4 linked regions of the Arabidopsis thaliana genome follow. The protein of the gene in region 1 interacts with the protein of each later gene in a pairwise test. Each region holds a gene or a part of one and is shown in the gene's direction. Other genes may lie near its edges.

Region 1 (3,657 bases):
AATACAGAATATAATCATAGTTAAAAGCTAATTAAGTCTGGAATATCAACGACAACAACTCTCGGAGGAGAGGCAGGAGCTTCCTCATTATGATCAAGTGTTATCAAATCAGAAAGCTTCGTCTCTATCTCTTCCTCTTCTTCTTCTTCTTCCTCAGCAATCTCTGTTCTCTCCGCACTTTCCTCAGACGACTCCATCGCCGTCCTTACGAGTTCATCGAGATGAATCACATCCGCTTCAGGAATCCTTACGAAATTAGGAATCTCTTGAGCATTAGAAACTCCCAAGTCTTTACAAAACTCAAAATACTTTTTTAGCTCTCCTCCTTGCTTCATGGATTTAGCAACAATCTTCAACGCCAAGTCTGCCTCTGTTTTACCTATCTTGGAGTGCACGTTAGGTAAAACTTCAGCAATACGACGACAAATCCAACCGTAAATCTCCATAATCTCACTAACCACATTCTCCATAGCTTCATTAATCACAGGTATCATCATGTTTTCACCAATCGGTTTGATTCTAATCAAAGAATCAACAATAATCTGCATCTTACGAATAATCACAAGTCGAATCAGAACCGATGATTCTTCGTTGTATCGATGACGATTCCCATCGTGAAACAGAATCGATCTTCGATCAAGAAACGCGAAATAAGCACGTACGAAGAGATTAAACCCACCGGATTTGCTCATAATCCGTGAATTACCTTCGCCGAAACTCGAAAGATCGAAAGGTAACCGTCCGATCGATTCTGCTACGGTTGATTTACAGAGGAAGAAGCCGTGCATTAGCATTAAGCCTTTTAAAGCAACCGCCCAGCTTCGCGTGCGTTTCACGCGAGACGAGATTAAGCTTACGAGAGGCTTGAGGCTTGACGGGCTAGAGAGAACGTGACGGTAGATGAATTGAGCGCTCTCTGTATCAATGGAGAGCTCGTCGTGGCTTGTAGCTTTCACAACGGCTGCTGTGAGAATGTCATCAGCCGCGATGAGACTAGGTCCGTCTTTGAGAACTACGGCGGCGCGTTTCCAAAGCTTCATCTTCCGACTAATGTGTGTGGTTTCAAATTGTTAGTTTCTATTTCGCGCTTTATAATTTTCATTTTAAACCGTGTTTTGTTTTCTTTGATGTCAATTCTTTGCTGGTTTAAAACGAATTAGATAAGGATAAGCTAAAATTAAGAAATCTCAGTTTTGACCAAAATAAAAAAAGATATTTTTGATGTCGTTACTAAATTATTATCTTCCATTTTTCAGTTTAACTCGATTGATTACGTAATAAGTTCATTAGATAAGTGTTGTTTGGTTGGCTTTTCTATATGTTTCGTTGATTTTGTTTTGAGGCAATTTTCTAGTGTAGTAGTGTTGTAATCGTATATAATGTATGTGGTTTGAGCAAGTCAAATTATGACTTTGTTTGTACAATATGGAAATATACATATCTTAATTATTAATGGTGTGATTGATATCGTTAAGCCGTAAAATAATCGTTTAGCTTGCTAAATTACACACAAAACATAAAGTAGGCAAATGAACATATACGATAGTGAATAGTCAACTCGTGGGTCACACAATTGCTTTTTTGCTAAACCTCTTAAAAGAAAGCGTTTCAGACTTCTTTTTGCAATAAAATCAGATTCTTTGAAAACTTTTGATCTTTGCTTCTTAATTATAGTTTCATTTTAGTTACAATATATTATTGATATTTCTCAATTTTACAAAATTAGTTTCTTAAATCTTACTTTTATAAATCAAAATACTTCTACTTATTTAGAAACATGTGACCTCTATACAATCCAAACTTATTAAATTTGTTTATACCTATATTAAAAACTTATTACTAATATATTAGTACTAGTTTACTAGTACTAATTAGCCGCTATAGTTTTACAAAAAGTGGTTTAGTTTTCTTATTCCTCATTATTGCTACTACACTTAACCCAATGGATTGAAAGAGTTAACTATGGGTAGAGATGACAACTTTATGAGCTGAGAGGATACGAAATTATGGATGTGTAGAAAAGCAAAGCCAGTGAAACAGTTCAAAAAGTGGGTTTTTCACATTTATTATGACAACTAATAAACACGTAAGTACAAAATCTTAAAGCAAGTAAGTAACAATAATTTTTGCTCTTTTTGTAACTCCCAACTCTTTCTGACACAAAAAAACACCATATCATAACTTAAGTAACCCAAAACCAAACTCTTCCAAAACAAACCCTAAACGCAAAAATCATTACTCAAAAAAAAACAAAGTCTCTCTCTTCTAATTAGAGAGCCAAGAAGATGCAGAGTACTTGTGTCTACAGAGAATGCATGCGCAACCACGCCGCGAAGCTCGGCTCTTACGCCATCGATGGCTGCCGTGAATACTCTCAACCATCCACCGGCGATCTCTGCGTCGCCTGTGGTTGCCACCGCAGCTACCACCGTCGTATAGACGTCATATCTTCTCCTCAAATCAATCACACGCGCTTCCCGTTCACGAGCTTAAGGCGCGTGAAGCAGCTGGCGAGGCTGAAATGGAAAACGGCTGAGGAAAGAAATGAGGAGGAGGAGGATGACACGGAGGAGACTTCGACGGAAGAGAAGATGACGGTGCAGAGGCGGAGGAAGTCAAAGTTCACGGCGGAGCAGAGAGAGGCGATGAAAGATTACGCGGCGAAGTTGGGATGGACGTTGAAGGATAAGAGAGCGCTTAGAGAAGAGATAAGAGTCTTCTGTGAAGGGATTGGTGTTACTCGTTATCATTTTAAAACTTGGGTTAACAATAATAAAAAGTTTTATCACTAACTAATTAACTAATATCCTTAATTGAGATAATACTATAATTTAGTTCCAATTTCATTTTCATCCCTTCTGTGTTAATTTCTCCTCCTTGATCGCTTATTTTAATGGATTATTATTTTATCATTAGTGGGTTTAATGTGTTTGATTTGGACATGTCCTTAATTACTAACTGGTTCACTCTTTAATTGGTCTTTATGATTCTTCTTTTTACGTCGGTGGGATTTGAGTTTTGACAAGACAACTAGCTGACGTTTTATTTATGGTCAATACTGTTCGCCAATCAGAATATTTATACGTAATAATATTGAAGTAGTTGAATAGTAGTACTAATTATTATGGGAAAGGATGGCAAAATGACATTTTGTTTTGATAGAAAATTGTAAAGATTACATATCTAATTCTAAAATTTGTAAATAATTAATGGTAAGATATATTTCACGTAATGAAAAGACAATTAGTTACGGAAATAACACAACATTGTGTTTTTTCGAGGTTTGTTACTAAAAATTATAATGACATCATCAAAGCCAATAAAAGCTGTTATGCTTTTTTTTGTAGAAATAGTCATTTCAAAAATAATTTTTATACTTTTTGCTTTTTTATAAAGTCGTAAAACCATATACTTAAAAGTATATACCAATAAAATTGTGAACTAATTGATTCATAAAATTGTAACTTTGCTACCATTATACCAAGCATCCCATTCCCACGAAAGTTTCAACTTTAATTGGGCTTTTGTTGGCATTTCAAGGCCAATAAGAACACCTTTGAGAAAACTAAAAAACATAGCTCTAGTCTACAATTATTCTAGTGTTTACCTACTGATTTAGAAAATGATTAGGATTTAGGACCAGGTTAACTAAAACCA
Region 2 (2,741 bases), on another chromosome or scaffold:
AAATGTTGTAGTCAATTCATATGACTCTTTCAAAGGATTAGACTATATTAAAAAGGGAGTAAACTACTATCAGCTAAAATCAATCACAGTATCTCTTAACGATGCGAATAAAGTAATGTTCTCTAGAACAAGATTTGATTCATTTACCGTAATCTTCTTGCTCACTACTTGCTTTTACGCAATCTGGATGACAGAGGCCACGCGTCTTTGCCATAGATTGCATGAATCGCTGAATCATATTCATCTTCGATTACTTATCCCTGGTTTCAAGTAGAATCCAGCAGAAGAACACATTCAGAAATCCAGTAGAGTCAAGCAGATAAGGCAAAAGGAAAAACAAAAACAAGACCTAACTAGCGAAAACCATAAACATGGTTTCAAGTTTTGACATAAACACAACCATTTCTAGTTGCAGAGGAAAAATCGTCGAACAAGAAGCTTTAGAGTAAACCAAAGTAACAATGATAGCTTCCATTAACAAAGAACAACTCTAACGTTAAAAAGGATTCAAATCATTCATCCAAAAAAAAAAGTTCAAACCCTAAAGTTTATCTCTGTTCACTAATAGCACTGAGAAAGGCCAAGTCACGGAGTAGAATCGGTAACAAATCCAAAACAAGCTAAAAGAATCCAACAGAGAGAGAAAATTGAGAGAAATTACCGGAGACACAGAGAGACGAGAATCAGAAGGAGAAGACATTCGCAATCGCCGTCGCGTCGAGAGAAACTCAGAGAATGTTCGCGAAACAAACTCTCACAGTCGTCGCGAAGATTTCCCCTCAGCTTTGTCCCGAAACGTGTCGCCTTTTTAAGACTTCAACTTTAGTCCTCAAGACGACGACGTTTGAAACTTTCCTTAAAACGTTGCCGTTTTTATGACATTGCCAATGTTTTTAAAAGTCTTTTTAACAACATCGTTTTTGCCTGTTTATTTAAGGGCAACAATTATAGTTTAACAACAATTTTCTTTTAGGCTCCAATGATGATGATCCAACATTTTGTTTTTCCGAGTTAGACATCGACTTATTCGTTGTAAATAGATTTTTTCTCTTTCTTCTTGAAAGAGTACTTGTTCTAAAAGTTTAGAGAGTGGATACCATTTTTTGTGCAACCGATCACGATCATGTCAATGCATTTTTTGGAGAGCAAGAAAATATTTGAGGCATAAGCTTCTTCAAGTACTAATACAAGTATCTCTCCATATCAGAAGAGCAAGAAATCTTCCAGTCTTTGAACATTATTTAGATAAGTAAAAGAATAATCTTGTTTTTTAGTTTGTAAAAAGATATAAGACAAAATAAGTTTAAAAAGAAAATAGTAGACAAAATATCATACGCTAAAACCAACATTACAAATTTGAAAAGAAAAAATGTGATATTGGCTTACTTATCTAATTTTAAGAATATTGGCTTTGAATTACATGGATATATTTCCTTTTTAAAGAATCGTTTTCCTAATATATTAAAAATCCTTAAAATCCACATATATATACGAAATCACCTTTTCTATTTGTCTACCTGAAAGTTTCAAGTCTTCAACGCGTTTATTATTGTTTTTCAGTTTTGCTCTAAAGATCATTTGTTGTTCCCCTTGGATTATTGCTATAATATATAGATCCTTAACTTTTTGTCTGATTTGCGTTTTCTTTGTCTCATAGAACAAGAAAAGAATATGTCGATGGTTAAGTACTACGATAAAGAGGAACATGTTGGGTTTTGGTTTCATCCTTCTGCCCAAGAACTCATCATCCGTTATATCGGGCCTAAGGTTACCAAAAGATCAAATAAAGAATTTGAATTAGAAGACAAGTTTGACATCTATGCCAAAGAGCCGTGGCGGTTGTCTCACACCGAGACTAACTTTTTGGAACCTAATGAATGGTTCTAGTTCGTGAAAGTGAATCATCTCTCTGAAAACGTTACTGGAAAACGCATCAGCCGCAAAGTCAAAGGAGAGACGGTTGATGGATGTTGGAAAGGCCATGGGAAGTTGAGTGATGTCGTGTTGGAAGATACCGGTGCAGTGATTGGGAAGAAGTCTAAGTTTCTACGTCAAAGGTGAGAGACAAGCCAGTGGTTGGACCATGACAGAATACTATCTCGAAAACGGTGGCTCATTATTCCATGTTCAAGTTCTCTGCCACCTTAAAGGACCATGATTATGTGTCTTGGTAAATTTTCAGTGAAGAGGATAATAACTTCTACTTCTATCTTATTTTACTTCAATTTTGTGTCTAGTTTGATATTTCCCTTTGCATAATTTATTTAAATTCCTCATAAAAACTTTAGGAAAATCTCGTATATTCTTGTTTATTTAAAGACATGTAGATCATTATTTTTATGAGGAGTTTGTAACTGCTCACCTTCTTGTTTTCACAAACGAAAAAATATTTTCTTGTTTTGAGGATCAAAGAGATTATCTCATCTAATATATGAGATATTAATAATGATCAGGCCCATCCATGCCTATGAAGGAAAAAGAGAAACTTTGGCCTACGAAATGGATAAGAAATTGGTTAAATTAATGGGAGATTTGCAAAACTATATTTTTTGACTACCTTTTTGCCATAATACTCTTTTATATTATTTATTTTTAAAAATATCTTTTTTCTTGAACAGAATGACCAAATTACCCTCATTTAATAATAACAAGTACTTGGAAACTTTCAATTTCCCGCCAAAAAAAAAAATTCCGGCAAACTTTTTTTCCCGCCAAAAAAAAACTTTTCCGCCAAAAATTTT
Region 3 (4,583 bases), 8.0 Mb from region 1:
GGGTTTAGATCGATATTAATACAAGATGGTATACTACATGTCAAACTCTTAAATTAACAATCAAACTACAAGTGTATAATCTTAAACACTAAACAATATAGATAATATCAACAAAACATATACAACTCACAGTTTACTATACATTTAAAATCAAATAAAATAATATCATATATTTTTAAATCATCTTTACAATAAAAGTTTTTAGTTTAACTAAAATATAAGGCTACTTGCGGTATACTGCAGGTTAATATCTAGATTATAGGGCTTATTGGATCTAGAGATGGGTCATCAAAGATTTCCTAAACTGAAGCAAAATATACTGAATATTCAAATATCTATCTATTACCAAATTATAAACAAATAAGTTCGTAAACAATTTAATATTTTATTTACGAAATCAATTAAATCTTAATCACATAAAAATTAGCACAAAAAAAAATATTCAACAATTAAAAAATAACAAATCTCTGTGTTATATAAGTTTTGATACTATATTCGAATAAAGTGTAATATACCTTTTCAATTTGTATTCTTTAACTAATTTAAGCTAACAAATATATTTGCTAATCTTATACCTATCAAAACCGACAATCGTTTCTTATCTCTATAGTATTTTTGCAAGACTTTTTTGGTGGATTTGGATAAAAGTGCGTTCGGCTCATATGGTACATTCCCCTATTAAATAAATATGGTGCACTCCTATGTTATTAACTAAAATGTTTAGATTATAATTCAGAGTCATATCATTAATAAAAATAATATTAATAAATAAATGGCTTTTTGGCAAGACAGATTTAGAGAGACGGGTTTTTGAATCAACATTAATAAAAAAAATAAAATATAATTAATCCACCGTTTCAATACGGGTTAAATCTTTAATTTATTATTTTCTAAGACCACTAATATTAAACATATCAAATCATCCTAATTTAGAAAAGATTATATAAAACAAAAAATGTTATGTGGTATGTATAATGTTACTATATATAAAATTAAACTATAAAATATAAATGTATTAGAAAATGATACAATTTGCAAAACTTTTATATAAAAAATAATTCTTAAATTTTAAAAATTACTACTTAAAAAAAAATCACAGGACGGGTAAAGAAATTACAGAACGGGTTTTATTTTAGAATTGAGTTATATGGCGGATGTATTTGAATTAATATTTATAAAATTTTAAAATATTATTAATATGCTGTTTTAATAGGGGTTAAAACTTCAGTTTTTTAACAATTGTCTCATGGATTCGTGGTATAGCGTTAGTTAATAACAATTATAAATTGTAAAATATAAATATTTTATAAAATAAAATTTGCAAGTTTTAATATATATTACTTTTAAAAAATAAATCGTCCCGCGGTATACCGCGGATTAAAATCTAGTAACATCTAGTTATTTTGCTAACAACATTTCTCAAATAATAGTATAGAGATGGTATAGAATCTACAAAGTGCAAACTATCACTTATAATTATTTATCAAATTAAAGCTGATAACATTTCGTACTAAATTTCAGCTTTAGAGTTTAAAGTGCAAATTATTAAACATTTGAACATATCAATTTCTTAATATTTAACAAAGTTTCTCCTTATTTTTTTATAGTTCTCTTAAATATATATATATATATATATATATATATATATATTGTATATCTAGTACTTTATAAGTTCATAATAACATTAGAATTTTATAATTATGTAAATAGAAAAGATTATTAACTAAAAAAAGAAAGAAATTGTCCCACGTCATTACATTGTCAATCTCATATGATAGTGAGAGTAATATTTTGATTTTGCATCTATTAGAAGCGTGTAGATAAATCACATAAAAATATTACGGAGCTTACTATACAAATTCGATGAATAAAAAATGAAAGAATTCCTCGAAGCTTTTGTAGTATTGTGTACCAATAAACCCAGTCTGAATAAACCAATGGTGGAGTCTATTATGGGAAAGTGAAAAAGCAAAAATAACTGAGAAAATAATAGACCAAATAAAGCATAAGGACAAGAATTGTTGTTTTCACGAAAACCACGCAATGTAAATCATCAACATGGATTGTTTCAATATGGTATCTTCCTCTATTTAGTGATCTAGAGATTGTTTCTTGTTTTTTTTTTTTTTTGCATTCTAAGGAGAAGAGGTGATCGAAACCAACCACACGGGAGGAGCTTATGCCATTTTCCTCCCCGTGGAAGGTCTAACAATCACACGTCTCCTAATCTCGTACGTCTTCTTAGGTATGTTCTTTGCATGTTAAAGAAACTGTATCTTCAATTCTTGTCATTACATGATAATGGTTTTCTTATACATGTTTTGCTCATACCTTATAGGTTTTGAAGAATGGAAAATTTAAGGAGGTTGTCAAACCCGGGAAATTTCGGATTCATTGGAAGATCACAATCACGAGTTCCCCAAAAAAACATGGAAAATAACATTTCTCCTCCTAATAATATGCACCACCATAGTGCTTCTTTAGATGATCTTTTCACAGAAGACCAACCAGCTTGGCTCGATGAGCTCCTAAGTGAGCCAGCATCACCTAAGATTAACAAAGGTCATAGACGTTCAGCTAGTGACACAGCTGCTTACTTGAACTCAGCTTTAATGCCTTCGAAGGAAAATCATGTTGCTGGTTCGTCTTGGCAGTTCCAGAACTATGATTTGTGGCAGTCCAACTCTTATGAACAACACAATAAATTAGGATGGGATTTCTCTACAGCAAATGGAACTAATATCCAAAGAAATATGTCATGCGGAGCTTTAAATATGTCGTCGAAACCCATTGAGAAACATGTAAGCAAAATGAAAGAAGGAACTTCTACAAAACCAGATGGTCCTAGATCAAAGACTGACTCAAAACGTATCAAACAGTAAGTAGTCTTATCTTTGTCATGTGTACTTATAATAGGTTATTAAAATGTCCCACATCGATTGAGATTAAGATCTTTAGGCATTATCTGGCAATCCTTAACTCTTGAGCTAACTGTTGGGATAAGTTAGACCACATTCCTAATATAGGTTGATAAACATATTTCTGATGCGGTTTAATAATATACAATTTTATCGAAAATTATTAAAATGCAGTCAAAATGCTCATCGAGCGCGTTTGAGAAGGCTTGAGTACATATCAGACCTTGAAAGGACCATCCAAGTGCTACAAGTAAGATTCTAAAGGCTCGTGTATTTCTCGAAGTTCTTTAATTTCATTAATAATATGAAAAGATTCCTAATGTTATATTATACATGTTGGATTTTCTTCAATAGGTTGAAGGATGTGAAATGTCATCTGCCATTCACTACTTGGATCAGCAGTTACTCATGCTTAGCATGGAAAATAGAGCTTTAAAACAACGTATGGATAGTTTAGCAGAAATCCAAAAGCTTAAACATGGTATTTAACCTTTCATATCACTACTAAAATGGATCAAAATGCATTTATTTTGTTCTCTTGTAAAATTTTGATTTTGGTTGGTTAATACAGTGGAGCAGCAATTGCTTGAGAGAGAGATAGGAAACCTACAGTTTCGACGACACCAACAACAACCACAGCAAAACCAAAAACAAGTCCAAGCAATACAAAATCGATACAACAAATATCAACCACCTGTTACACAAGAACCCGATGCCCAATTTGCAGCCTTGGCAATATGATTTAGGAAATATGGATACATTGTTCAGATTAAGCTGAGCTCCTCTTGCTCTACCTTAATGTCCATACAACATAGGTGAACTTGATGTTTGTAGCCTTGAATGAAAACCTAAAAAAGCATCGTTATGTAAATCAAAATGTGGTTGCCCATATCCTCCTCTATTGCATTTCTCTCTATTTATGGCATGGTAGAGAATCTCTTGTCAAGAAACTTCATGTTATGTAATAACTTGTAATCCTTCTTATTTCATCTATTATATATATGAATAAGTAATTTTTTTGACAATTTCCTTTATCTATATATATACAAGTTGTGACCGATTCTAGTAATAAAAGGAAAAAAAAAATATATATATATATATATATATATATATAAATATTCTGTATACTATTTTATACACCAGTCAAGATAATATGAAAATTAAGATTAATATTTAAAAAATGAATTTACGAAAACATAGTAATTTGTTGGGTTTATGCAACAGTAAAAAAAAAAATCCTTTAAGCCGCCATTGTATTTTAATTTTACCCTCCATCTCAAAAAATGCATATTAATCATAGTAAGTAAAAAAACTGATATGAAATATAATTCTCATCCATATCTTTTAAAAGATTTTATGGCTACATACATTATATATATATATATATATATTTATTTTTAAATGGTCTTTCAGCATCGTCGGGAGAACTTCAAGTTGAGATACTATATATACAAACTTTACAAATTTGACAACGATTAAGAAAGATTGTATTGCGTATTATTTAGACTTTCAATAACTGATTTGCAGTATCATTTGTTATTTTGTTTAGTTTCTAACCCTAAGTTACAAAAATTAACCAATTTGTTCATATATTTTTTCTATTAGATTAGGAAAAATTCTCAAATCTAAATAATCTCCGAATATATAACTCTAACTAGAATTTAA
Region 4 (4,123 bases), on another chromosome or scaffold:
CAACTGCAATTTGGTTTCTATATGCCCAATTACCGGATATGAAGGATCCTGAACAGCAATTGTAACATTGGAACCAAACATAACCTGCAAGAAGTGGAATCAAGAAACAGCTGTTCATATTTCTTAATCTTGTATCAATTACAGATGAATAGTCAGCAATAAAACAAACCTGGAGACGTGAGATATCACATTTAGCTCCATCAGAAACAAAAACGTCATCATCCCCTATGCCAAGGCCACCGTAGAATGTTTTCGCAATAGCAGCTCTCAGTGGCTTTTCACATATGTGAAATCAAGGTTAGTTTGGATAAAAACTTAACAGATTAAGCTTTAAGATTTTACATGTAAGAAACAGGTTTAAATCCATCTTCTCTTGAATTTAGCAGCAGTTCAAGACTATCCATAATAAAATTGAAGTGACGTGCAAAGGCAGATAATAAAGAAATGATAACAACGCAATAAGGTGGAAATGAAGGGTGCACTGACCTTTGCACCTTGTTCAGCACCATAACCACTATATCCCTCTATTGTTGACAACTCATGAGCTTTCTGTCAGAGAAAAAAAACATGATTAATCTCTAGAGATTACATGCCTGTGTGAATAGTATAGCAAACAAAAAAACTATGCTACCAGAATAATTTTCATTGTTAGATTACAGAGAAGTTCTCGTTTAATAATCCAAATACGCCAAAACAGAAAATATGTTATACATTTTTGTCAAAATGAACGAAATAATACATGTTAGGGCAGTGTTAGTAAAATCAGTTTAAAATATGCTAGAGCCCAGAGAAGGGCAAAGAGCACATGAAGCTAAGTTAAGATAAGGAGGTACCTTTGCCATAGCAGAAGTGATCACTTCAGGAATTGGCTCAGTTGTGTCGCCTATTCCAAGACTTATAACTTGTGCATCTGGATATTTCAACAAGTGTGCAGACCTTCTTCTTGCAATCTGTTTGCATCCACACAAAAAAATAAGAGAGAGGAGCATTATATACAGAATCAATGAGGATATATTAACTTATTACACAGATAGTTATAATATTTCAGATCACTAGAAGCTTTCAAAAATGTTAACTTGAAATGCCACTCCTTTAGGTATTTGAAATCTTAAATAGTAGTACCAAGAGAGTAACAGGTAACAAACCTCCGGGAATAGGTATCCAGCCTGAAGTTTGGACATGTTTGAATTCCGTGACACTTTGGTCTTATACTCTACATACAGAAAACAAAATCATGTATTGTAAGAAACAGATAAACAGCTAAAAGACGATAAATCATTAACTATGTTACTAATCATTACAGCAAAAACAACATGGAGTAGGAACATTACCGATCTTCTCTTGCGGCGTAGCAACACATTTGCAAGTATTGACCCGTTTTGCCATGGGTAAGCAAGCATTTCGAGTTCTGAAGCCAAAAAGGAAAGCAAACCAATAAAAAAATGAATCAATGATCATCACAAGCAAATGCACTGTTCTCTGGCCAAACAACACCATCCAACATCGACTTAAAAACCAAAGGATTGAAATTTCCAAGTAAATTCATAACATACAATTAATTTCTGGAAATGAATCCAATTTCATATTCATCCTCACTAGATTATATCAGTAGCAAACAGAGAGTAAAAGAAAACAAAACGACGCACCTGAGATTAAAATTTGAAGGGGCTAAGAAAGTGGATGAGGAAGAAGAGATCATCGAAGAAACTAACTGATGGGTCGACGACATTTTTCCTGCTTCGCACAAAGATTTTTTCAGACAAATTTGCAGAGCAAATGAACCATGGGAGATAGTTGGTGAGACTGATAAAACTAGGGTTCTTCTTCGGTTTGGTCTGAGAGGAAATTAATCCGGTTTGTTCCGGTTCGGTTTTACTAGAAATTTTTGGGAATTTTCCAATTCAGTTCAATTTATTTATTTCTCTCTCTGGCTCGGACAATGATTTTGCTCTGCGCCTGCTGGAAAACGCCGAGGAATCGCACGATTTCGTGAAGCTGCTACTAGATATCTGTATCTGAGTCAATTCGATTTCGTGGTAATTAATCTCGACCAATAGGGTTCTCCAAAAATCCCCTTTTCGATTGTTGTGTGTTTACGTAATTTTGTTTGTTTTGCTTCGTTGATTTCGTTGTCGAAAGAACGTAGCTTTAGTGGAAGTTCTGTGATTAAGAAGCAATGATTTAGATAGCTGTAGTGGTCGAATTAAGTTCAACTCCATCTTTGTTTGATCTACCCAGATTGATTTGATCACATAACTTGATTAGGCTTATACTTTTTTGTTTTACCTTGGAGTAGATGGATCTGGAAACTGAAAATCGAATAGCTTCCATTCTTTTAAGAGAAGCAGCAGAATTGAGGAGACAAGCTGAGAAAGATGGCGTCAGAGCATATCTTGAGAAGCCTAATGTAAGGCATCGACCTAACTCTAGATTTCTCACTGCTACAGTTCTTGGTGTTCAGCAAGGTATAATCTTTTGTTGACAGACTTTGCTTCTATCCAACAAAATCTAGTTTTTTTTTAGTTTATCTCTTATTTGTTTCTTCTTTATTCCATTCAGCAAACAAAGCTGTGGAAACCAATGAGATGTGGAGTCTTCGGAGTAAAGAGATTGAGTTTGGTGAAAGGCTCAAAAGAAAATCAAGAGATGAGAGCAGCAATGGTCAAAGTGAGCAGAACAATAGGAGGGATTTTTTAAAGAGATGTACTTCAGTTGATGAGAATGTTACTACTACTAGTTTATCACCATCATCAAGCCGGAGCAGAAGCAAAAGATGGCAATCAGAGGATGATGATGATGAAGGCTTAGGAGATGTCGAGGTTAAGACTTTTCTCCAATCAAGGTATTTCCATTATACTCAGATGCTGCCTGATTATTTCCTTTACAATAATGATCGAATTTGGGATCGGCTTTTGCTGATAAAACTTGTGATTCTGGTCTATGATAGGGTCAAGCGTGGCAGAGGTTCTGTTGGTGCTATGATGGATGAACCGCTACCCTGTCTTCCTGAGAGGGAATTGTCAAGAACTTCTGATACAGGAGATCGGAAGCTAGTGATTCAGCCAGAGCGATCACCTTTATTGAGACGTAGGACAGATTCTTCTTCTTCCGACGAGGAGGAAGTTTACAAACGGGCTCATAGAAAGAGAAAGGAGCATAAGAAGAAACTTAGTAAGAAACACAAGTCAAAAGAGAAGAAAAGGGATAGGAAGAAGAGAAAATATGGTAGGGACTAGATCTTTCCGGACAAAAGTAATTGCCTTTTTACACCGGCAGTGATGTTGTATCCATAAGATGATCATATTTCATTAATTCTTGTATTAGTAAAATGCGAATAAAAACTCTTTGAAGTAAGGTAGAGAGTGACATATCTTAGAGACTAATGATATATAGGTAGTAGAGACAACTATTGGTGTGGCCTATGAGGGTTCAGATTTGGTAAAACTCTTTGAAGAAAGGAGAGAGCGACATATCTTAGAGACCAATGATATATATATAGAGAGAAAACATCTTGAAACCATAGAAAAAGTTGTTGTTCATGCCTACATTGATACACATTCGCCGGACAAGTGACAGTTTGAAAGTTGAAAACAAAGACTAAAGTTTTCGACATTCATAACCAGTTCAGTGGTCATGCACTCTGTGTTAGGAGTCTTCAAAATGGTGATCAGTTTCGTCAAAGATCTCCTCCTGCAACCACAAGCCAAGCAATAATTAATCCGTGAAAAAGAATTTTTGTTTTTAACTTATATAAGATTCCTTACCTGCAGAAGTTCTTCAATGACATCCTCCATCGTAATGATTCCGACTGCTTCTTCTTCCTCAGCAAGTTTAGGCAGCGGATTGCCATTCAATTGCAGGATGTCTGCATCATTGTCTTTTGACCACTTCTTGCTCTTTGACCCTCCTTTAAACGAACTTGCTCGATTCGGAAAGCTCTTCCACTTTTGAAGCGATCTTTTTGTCCTTAACATTCTCTCCTGAGGAGTAGGAGTTCCCTCACTATCCACATCCACTCGGGCTTCCTTAACACTCCCTATTAGAAACCAAAGCAAAGATTCTCAATACTTGTAACTCAGCAAGACATTGTTTTGTCGATTAATGAAGCAGTTTACCATTTTTA

The links.
Region 2: the proteins of HB32 (region 1) and AT5G18037 interact in a two-hybrid assay, tested with the Arabidopsis thaliana proteins (one large-scale study listed by BioGRID).
Region 3: the proteins of HB32 (region 1) and AT1G35490 interact in a two-hybrid assay, tested with the Arabidopsis thaliana proteins (one large-scale study listed by BioGRID).
Region 4: the proteins of HB32 (region 1) and AT4G33690 interact in a two-hybrid assay, tested with the Arabidopsis thaliana proteins (one large-scale study listed by BioGRID).

The regions. Positions count from the first base shown.
Region 1 is NC_003070.9:5,045,761-5,049,417, forward strand, and holds HB32 (homeobox protein 32), read left to right. Parts: upstream 1-2,021; 5' UTR 2,022-2,285; coding exon 2,286-2,792; 3' UTR 2,793-2,993; downstream 2,994-3,657. Other genes in the region: AT1G14686 (ENTH/ANTH/VHS superfamily protein), read right to left, coding at 21-1,040. UniProt on the Arabidopsis thaliana protein: Putative transcription factor.
Region 2 is NC_003076.8:5,970,459-5,973,199, reverse strand, and holds AT5G18037 (NAC (No Apical Meristem) domain transcriptional regulator superfamily protein), read left to right. Parts: upstream 1-1,633; 5' UTR 1,634-1,671; coding exon 1,672-1,887; 3' UTR 1,888-2,099; downstream 2,100-2,741. Other genes in the region: AT5G18040 (target of trans acting-siR480/255 protein), read right to left, coding at 148-244.
Region 3 is NC_003070.9:13,059,508-13,064,090, forward strand, and holds AT1G35490 (bZIP family transcription factor), read left to right. Parts: upstream 1-2,041; 5' UTR 2,042-2,245; intron 2,246-2,338; 5' UTR 2,339-2,348; coding exon 2,349-2,878; intron 2,879-3,092; coding exon 3,093-3,168; intron 3,169-3,272; coding exon 3,273-3,399; intron 3,400-3,489; coding exon 3,490-3,659; 3' UTR 3,660-3,948; downstream 3,949-4,583.
Region 4 is NC_003075.7:16,172,902-16,177,024, forward strand, and holds AT4G33690 (G patch domain protein), read left to right. Parts: upstream 1-1,854; 5' UTR 1,855-2,036; intron 2,037-2,296; coding exon 2,297-2,465; intron 2,466-2,559; coding exon 2,560-2,842; intron 2,843-2,947; coding exon 2,948-3,236; 3' UTR 3,237-3,427; downstream 3,428-4,123. Other genes in the region: AGD2 (Pyridoxal phosphate (PLP)-dependent transferases superfamily protein), read right to left, coding at 34-84, 170-274, 487-549, 834-950, 1,146-1,213, 1,332-1,408, 1,647-1,729; AT4G33700 (CBS domain protein (DUF21)), read right to left, coding at 3,646-3,690, 3,765-4,036, 4,116-4,123.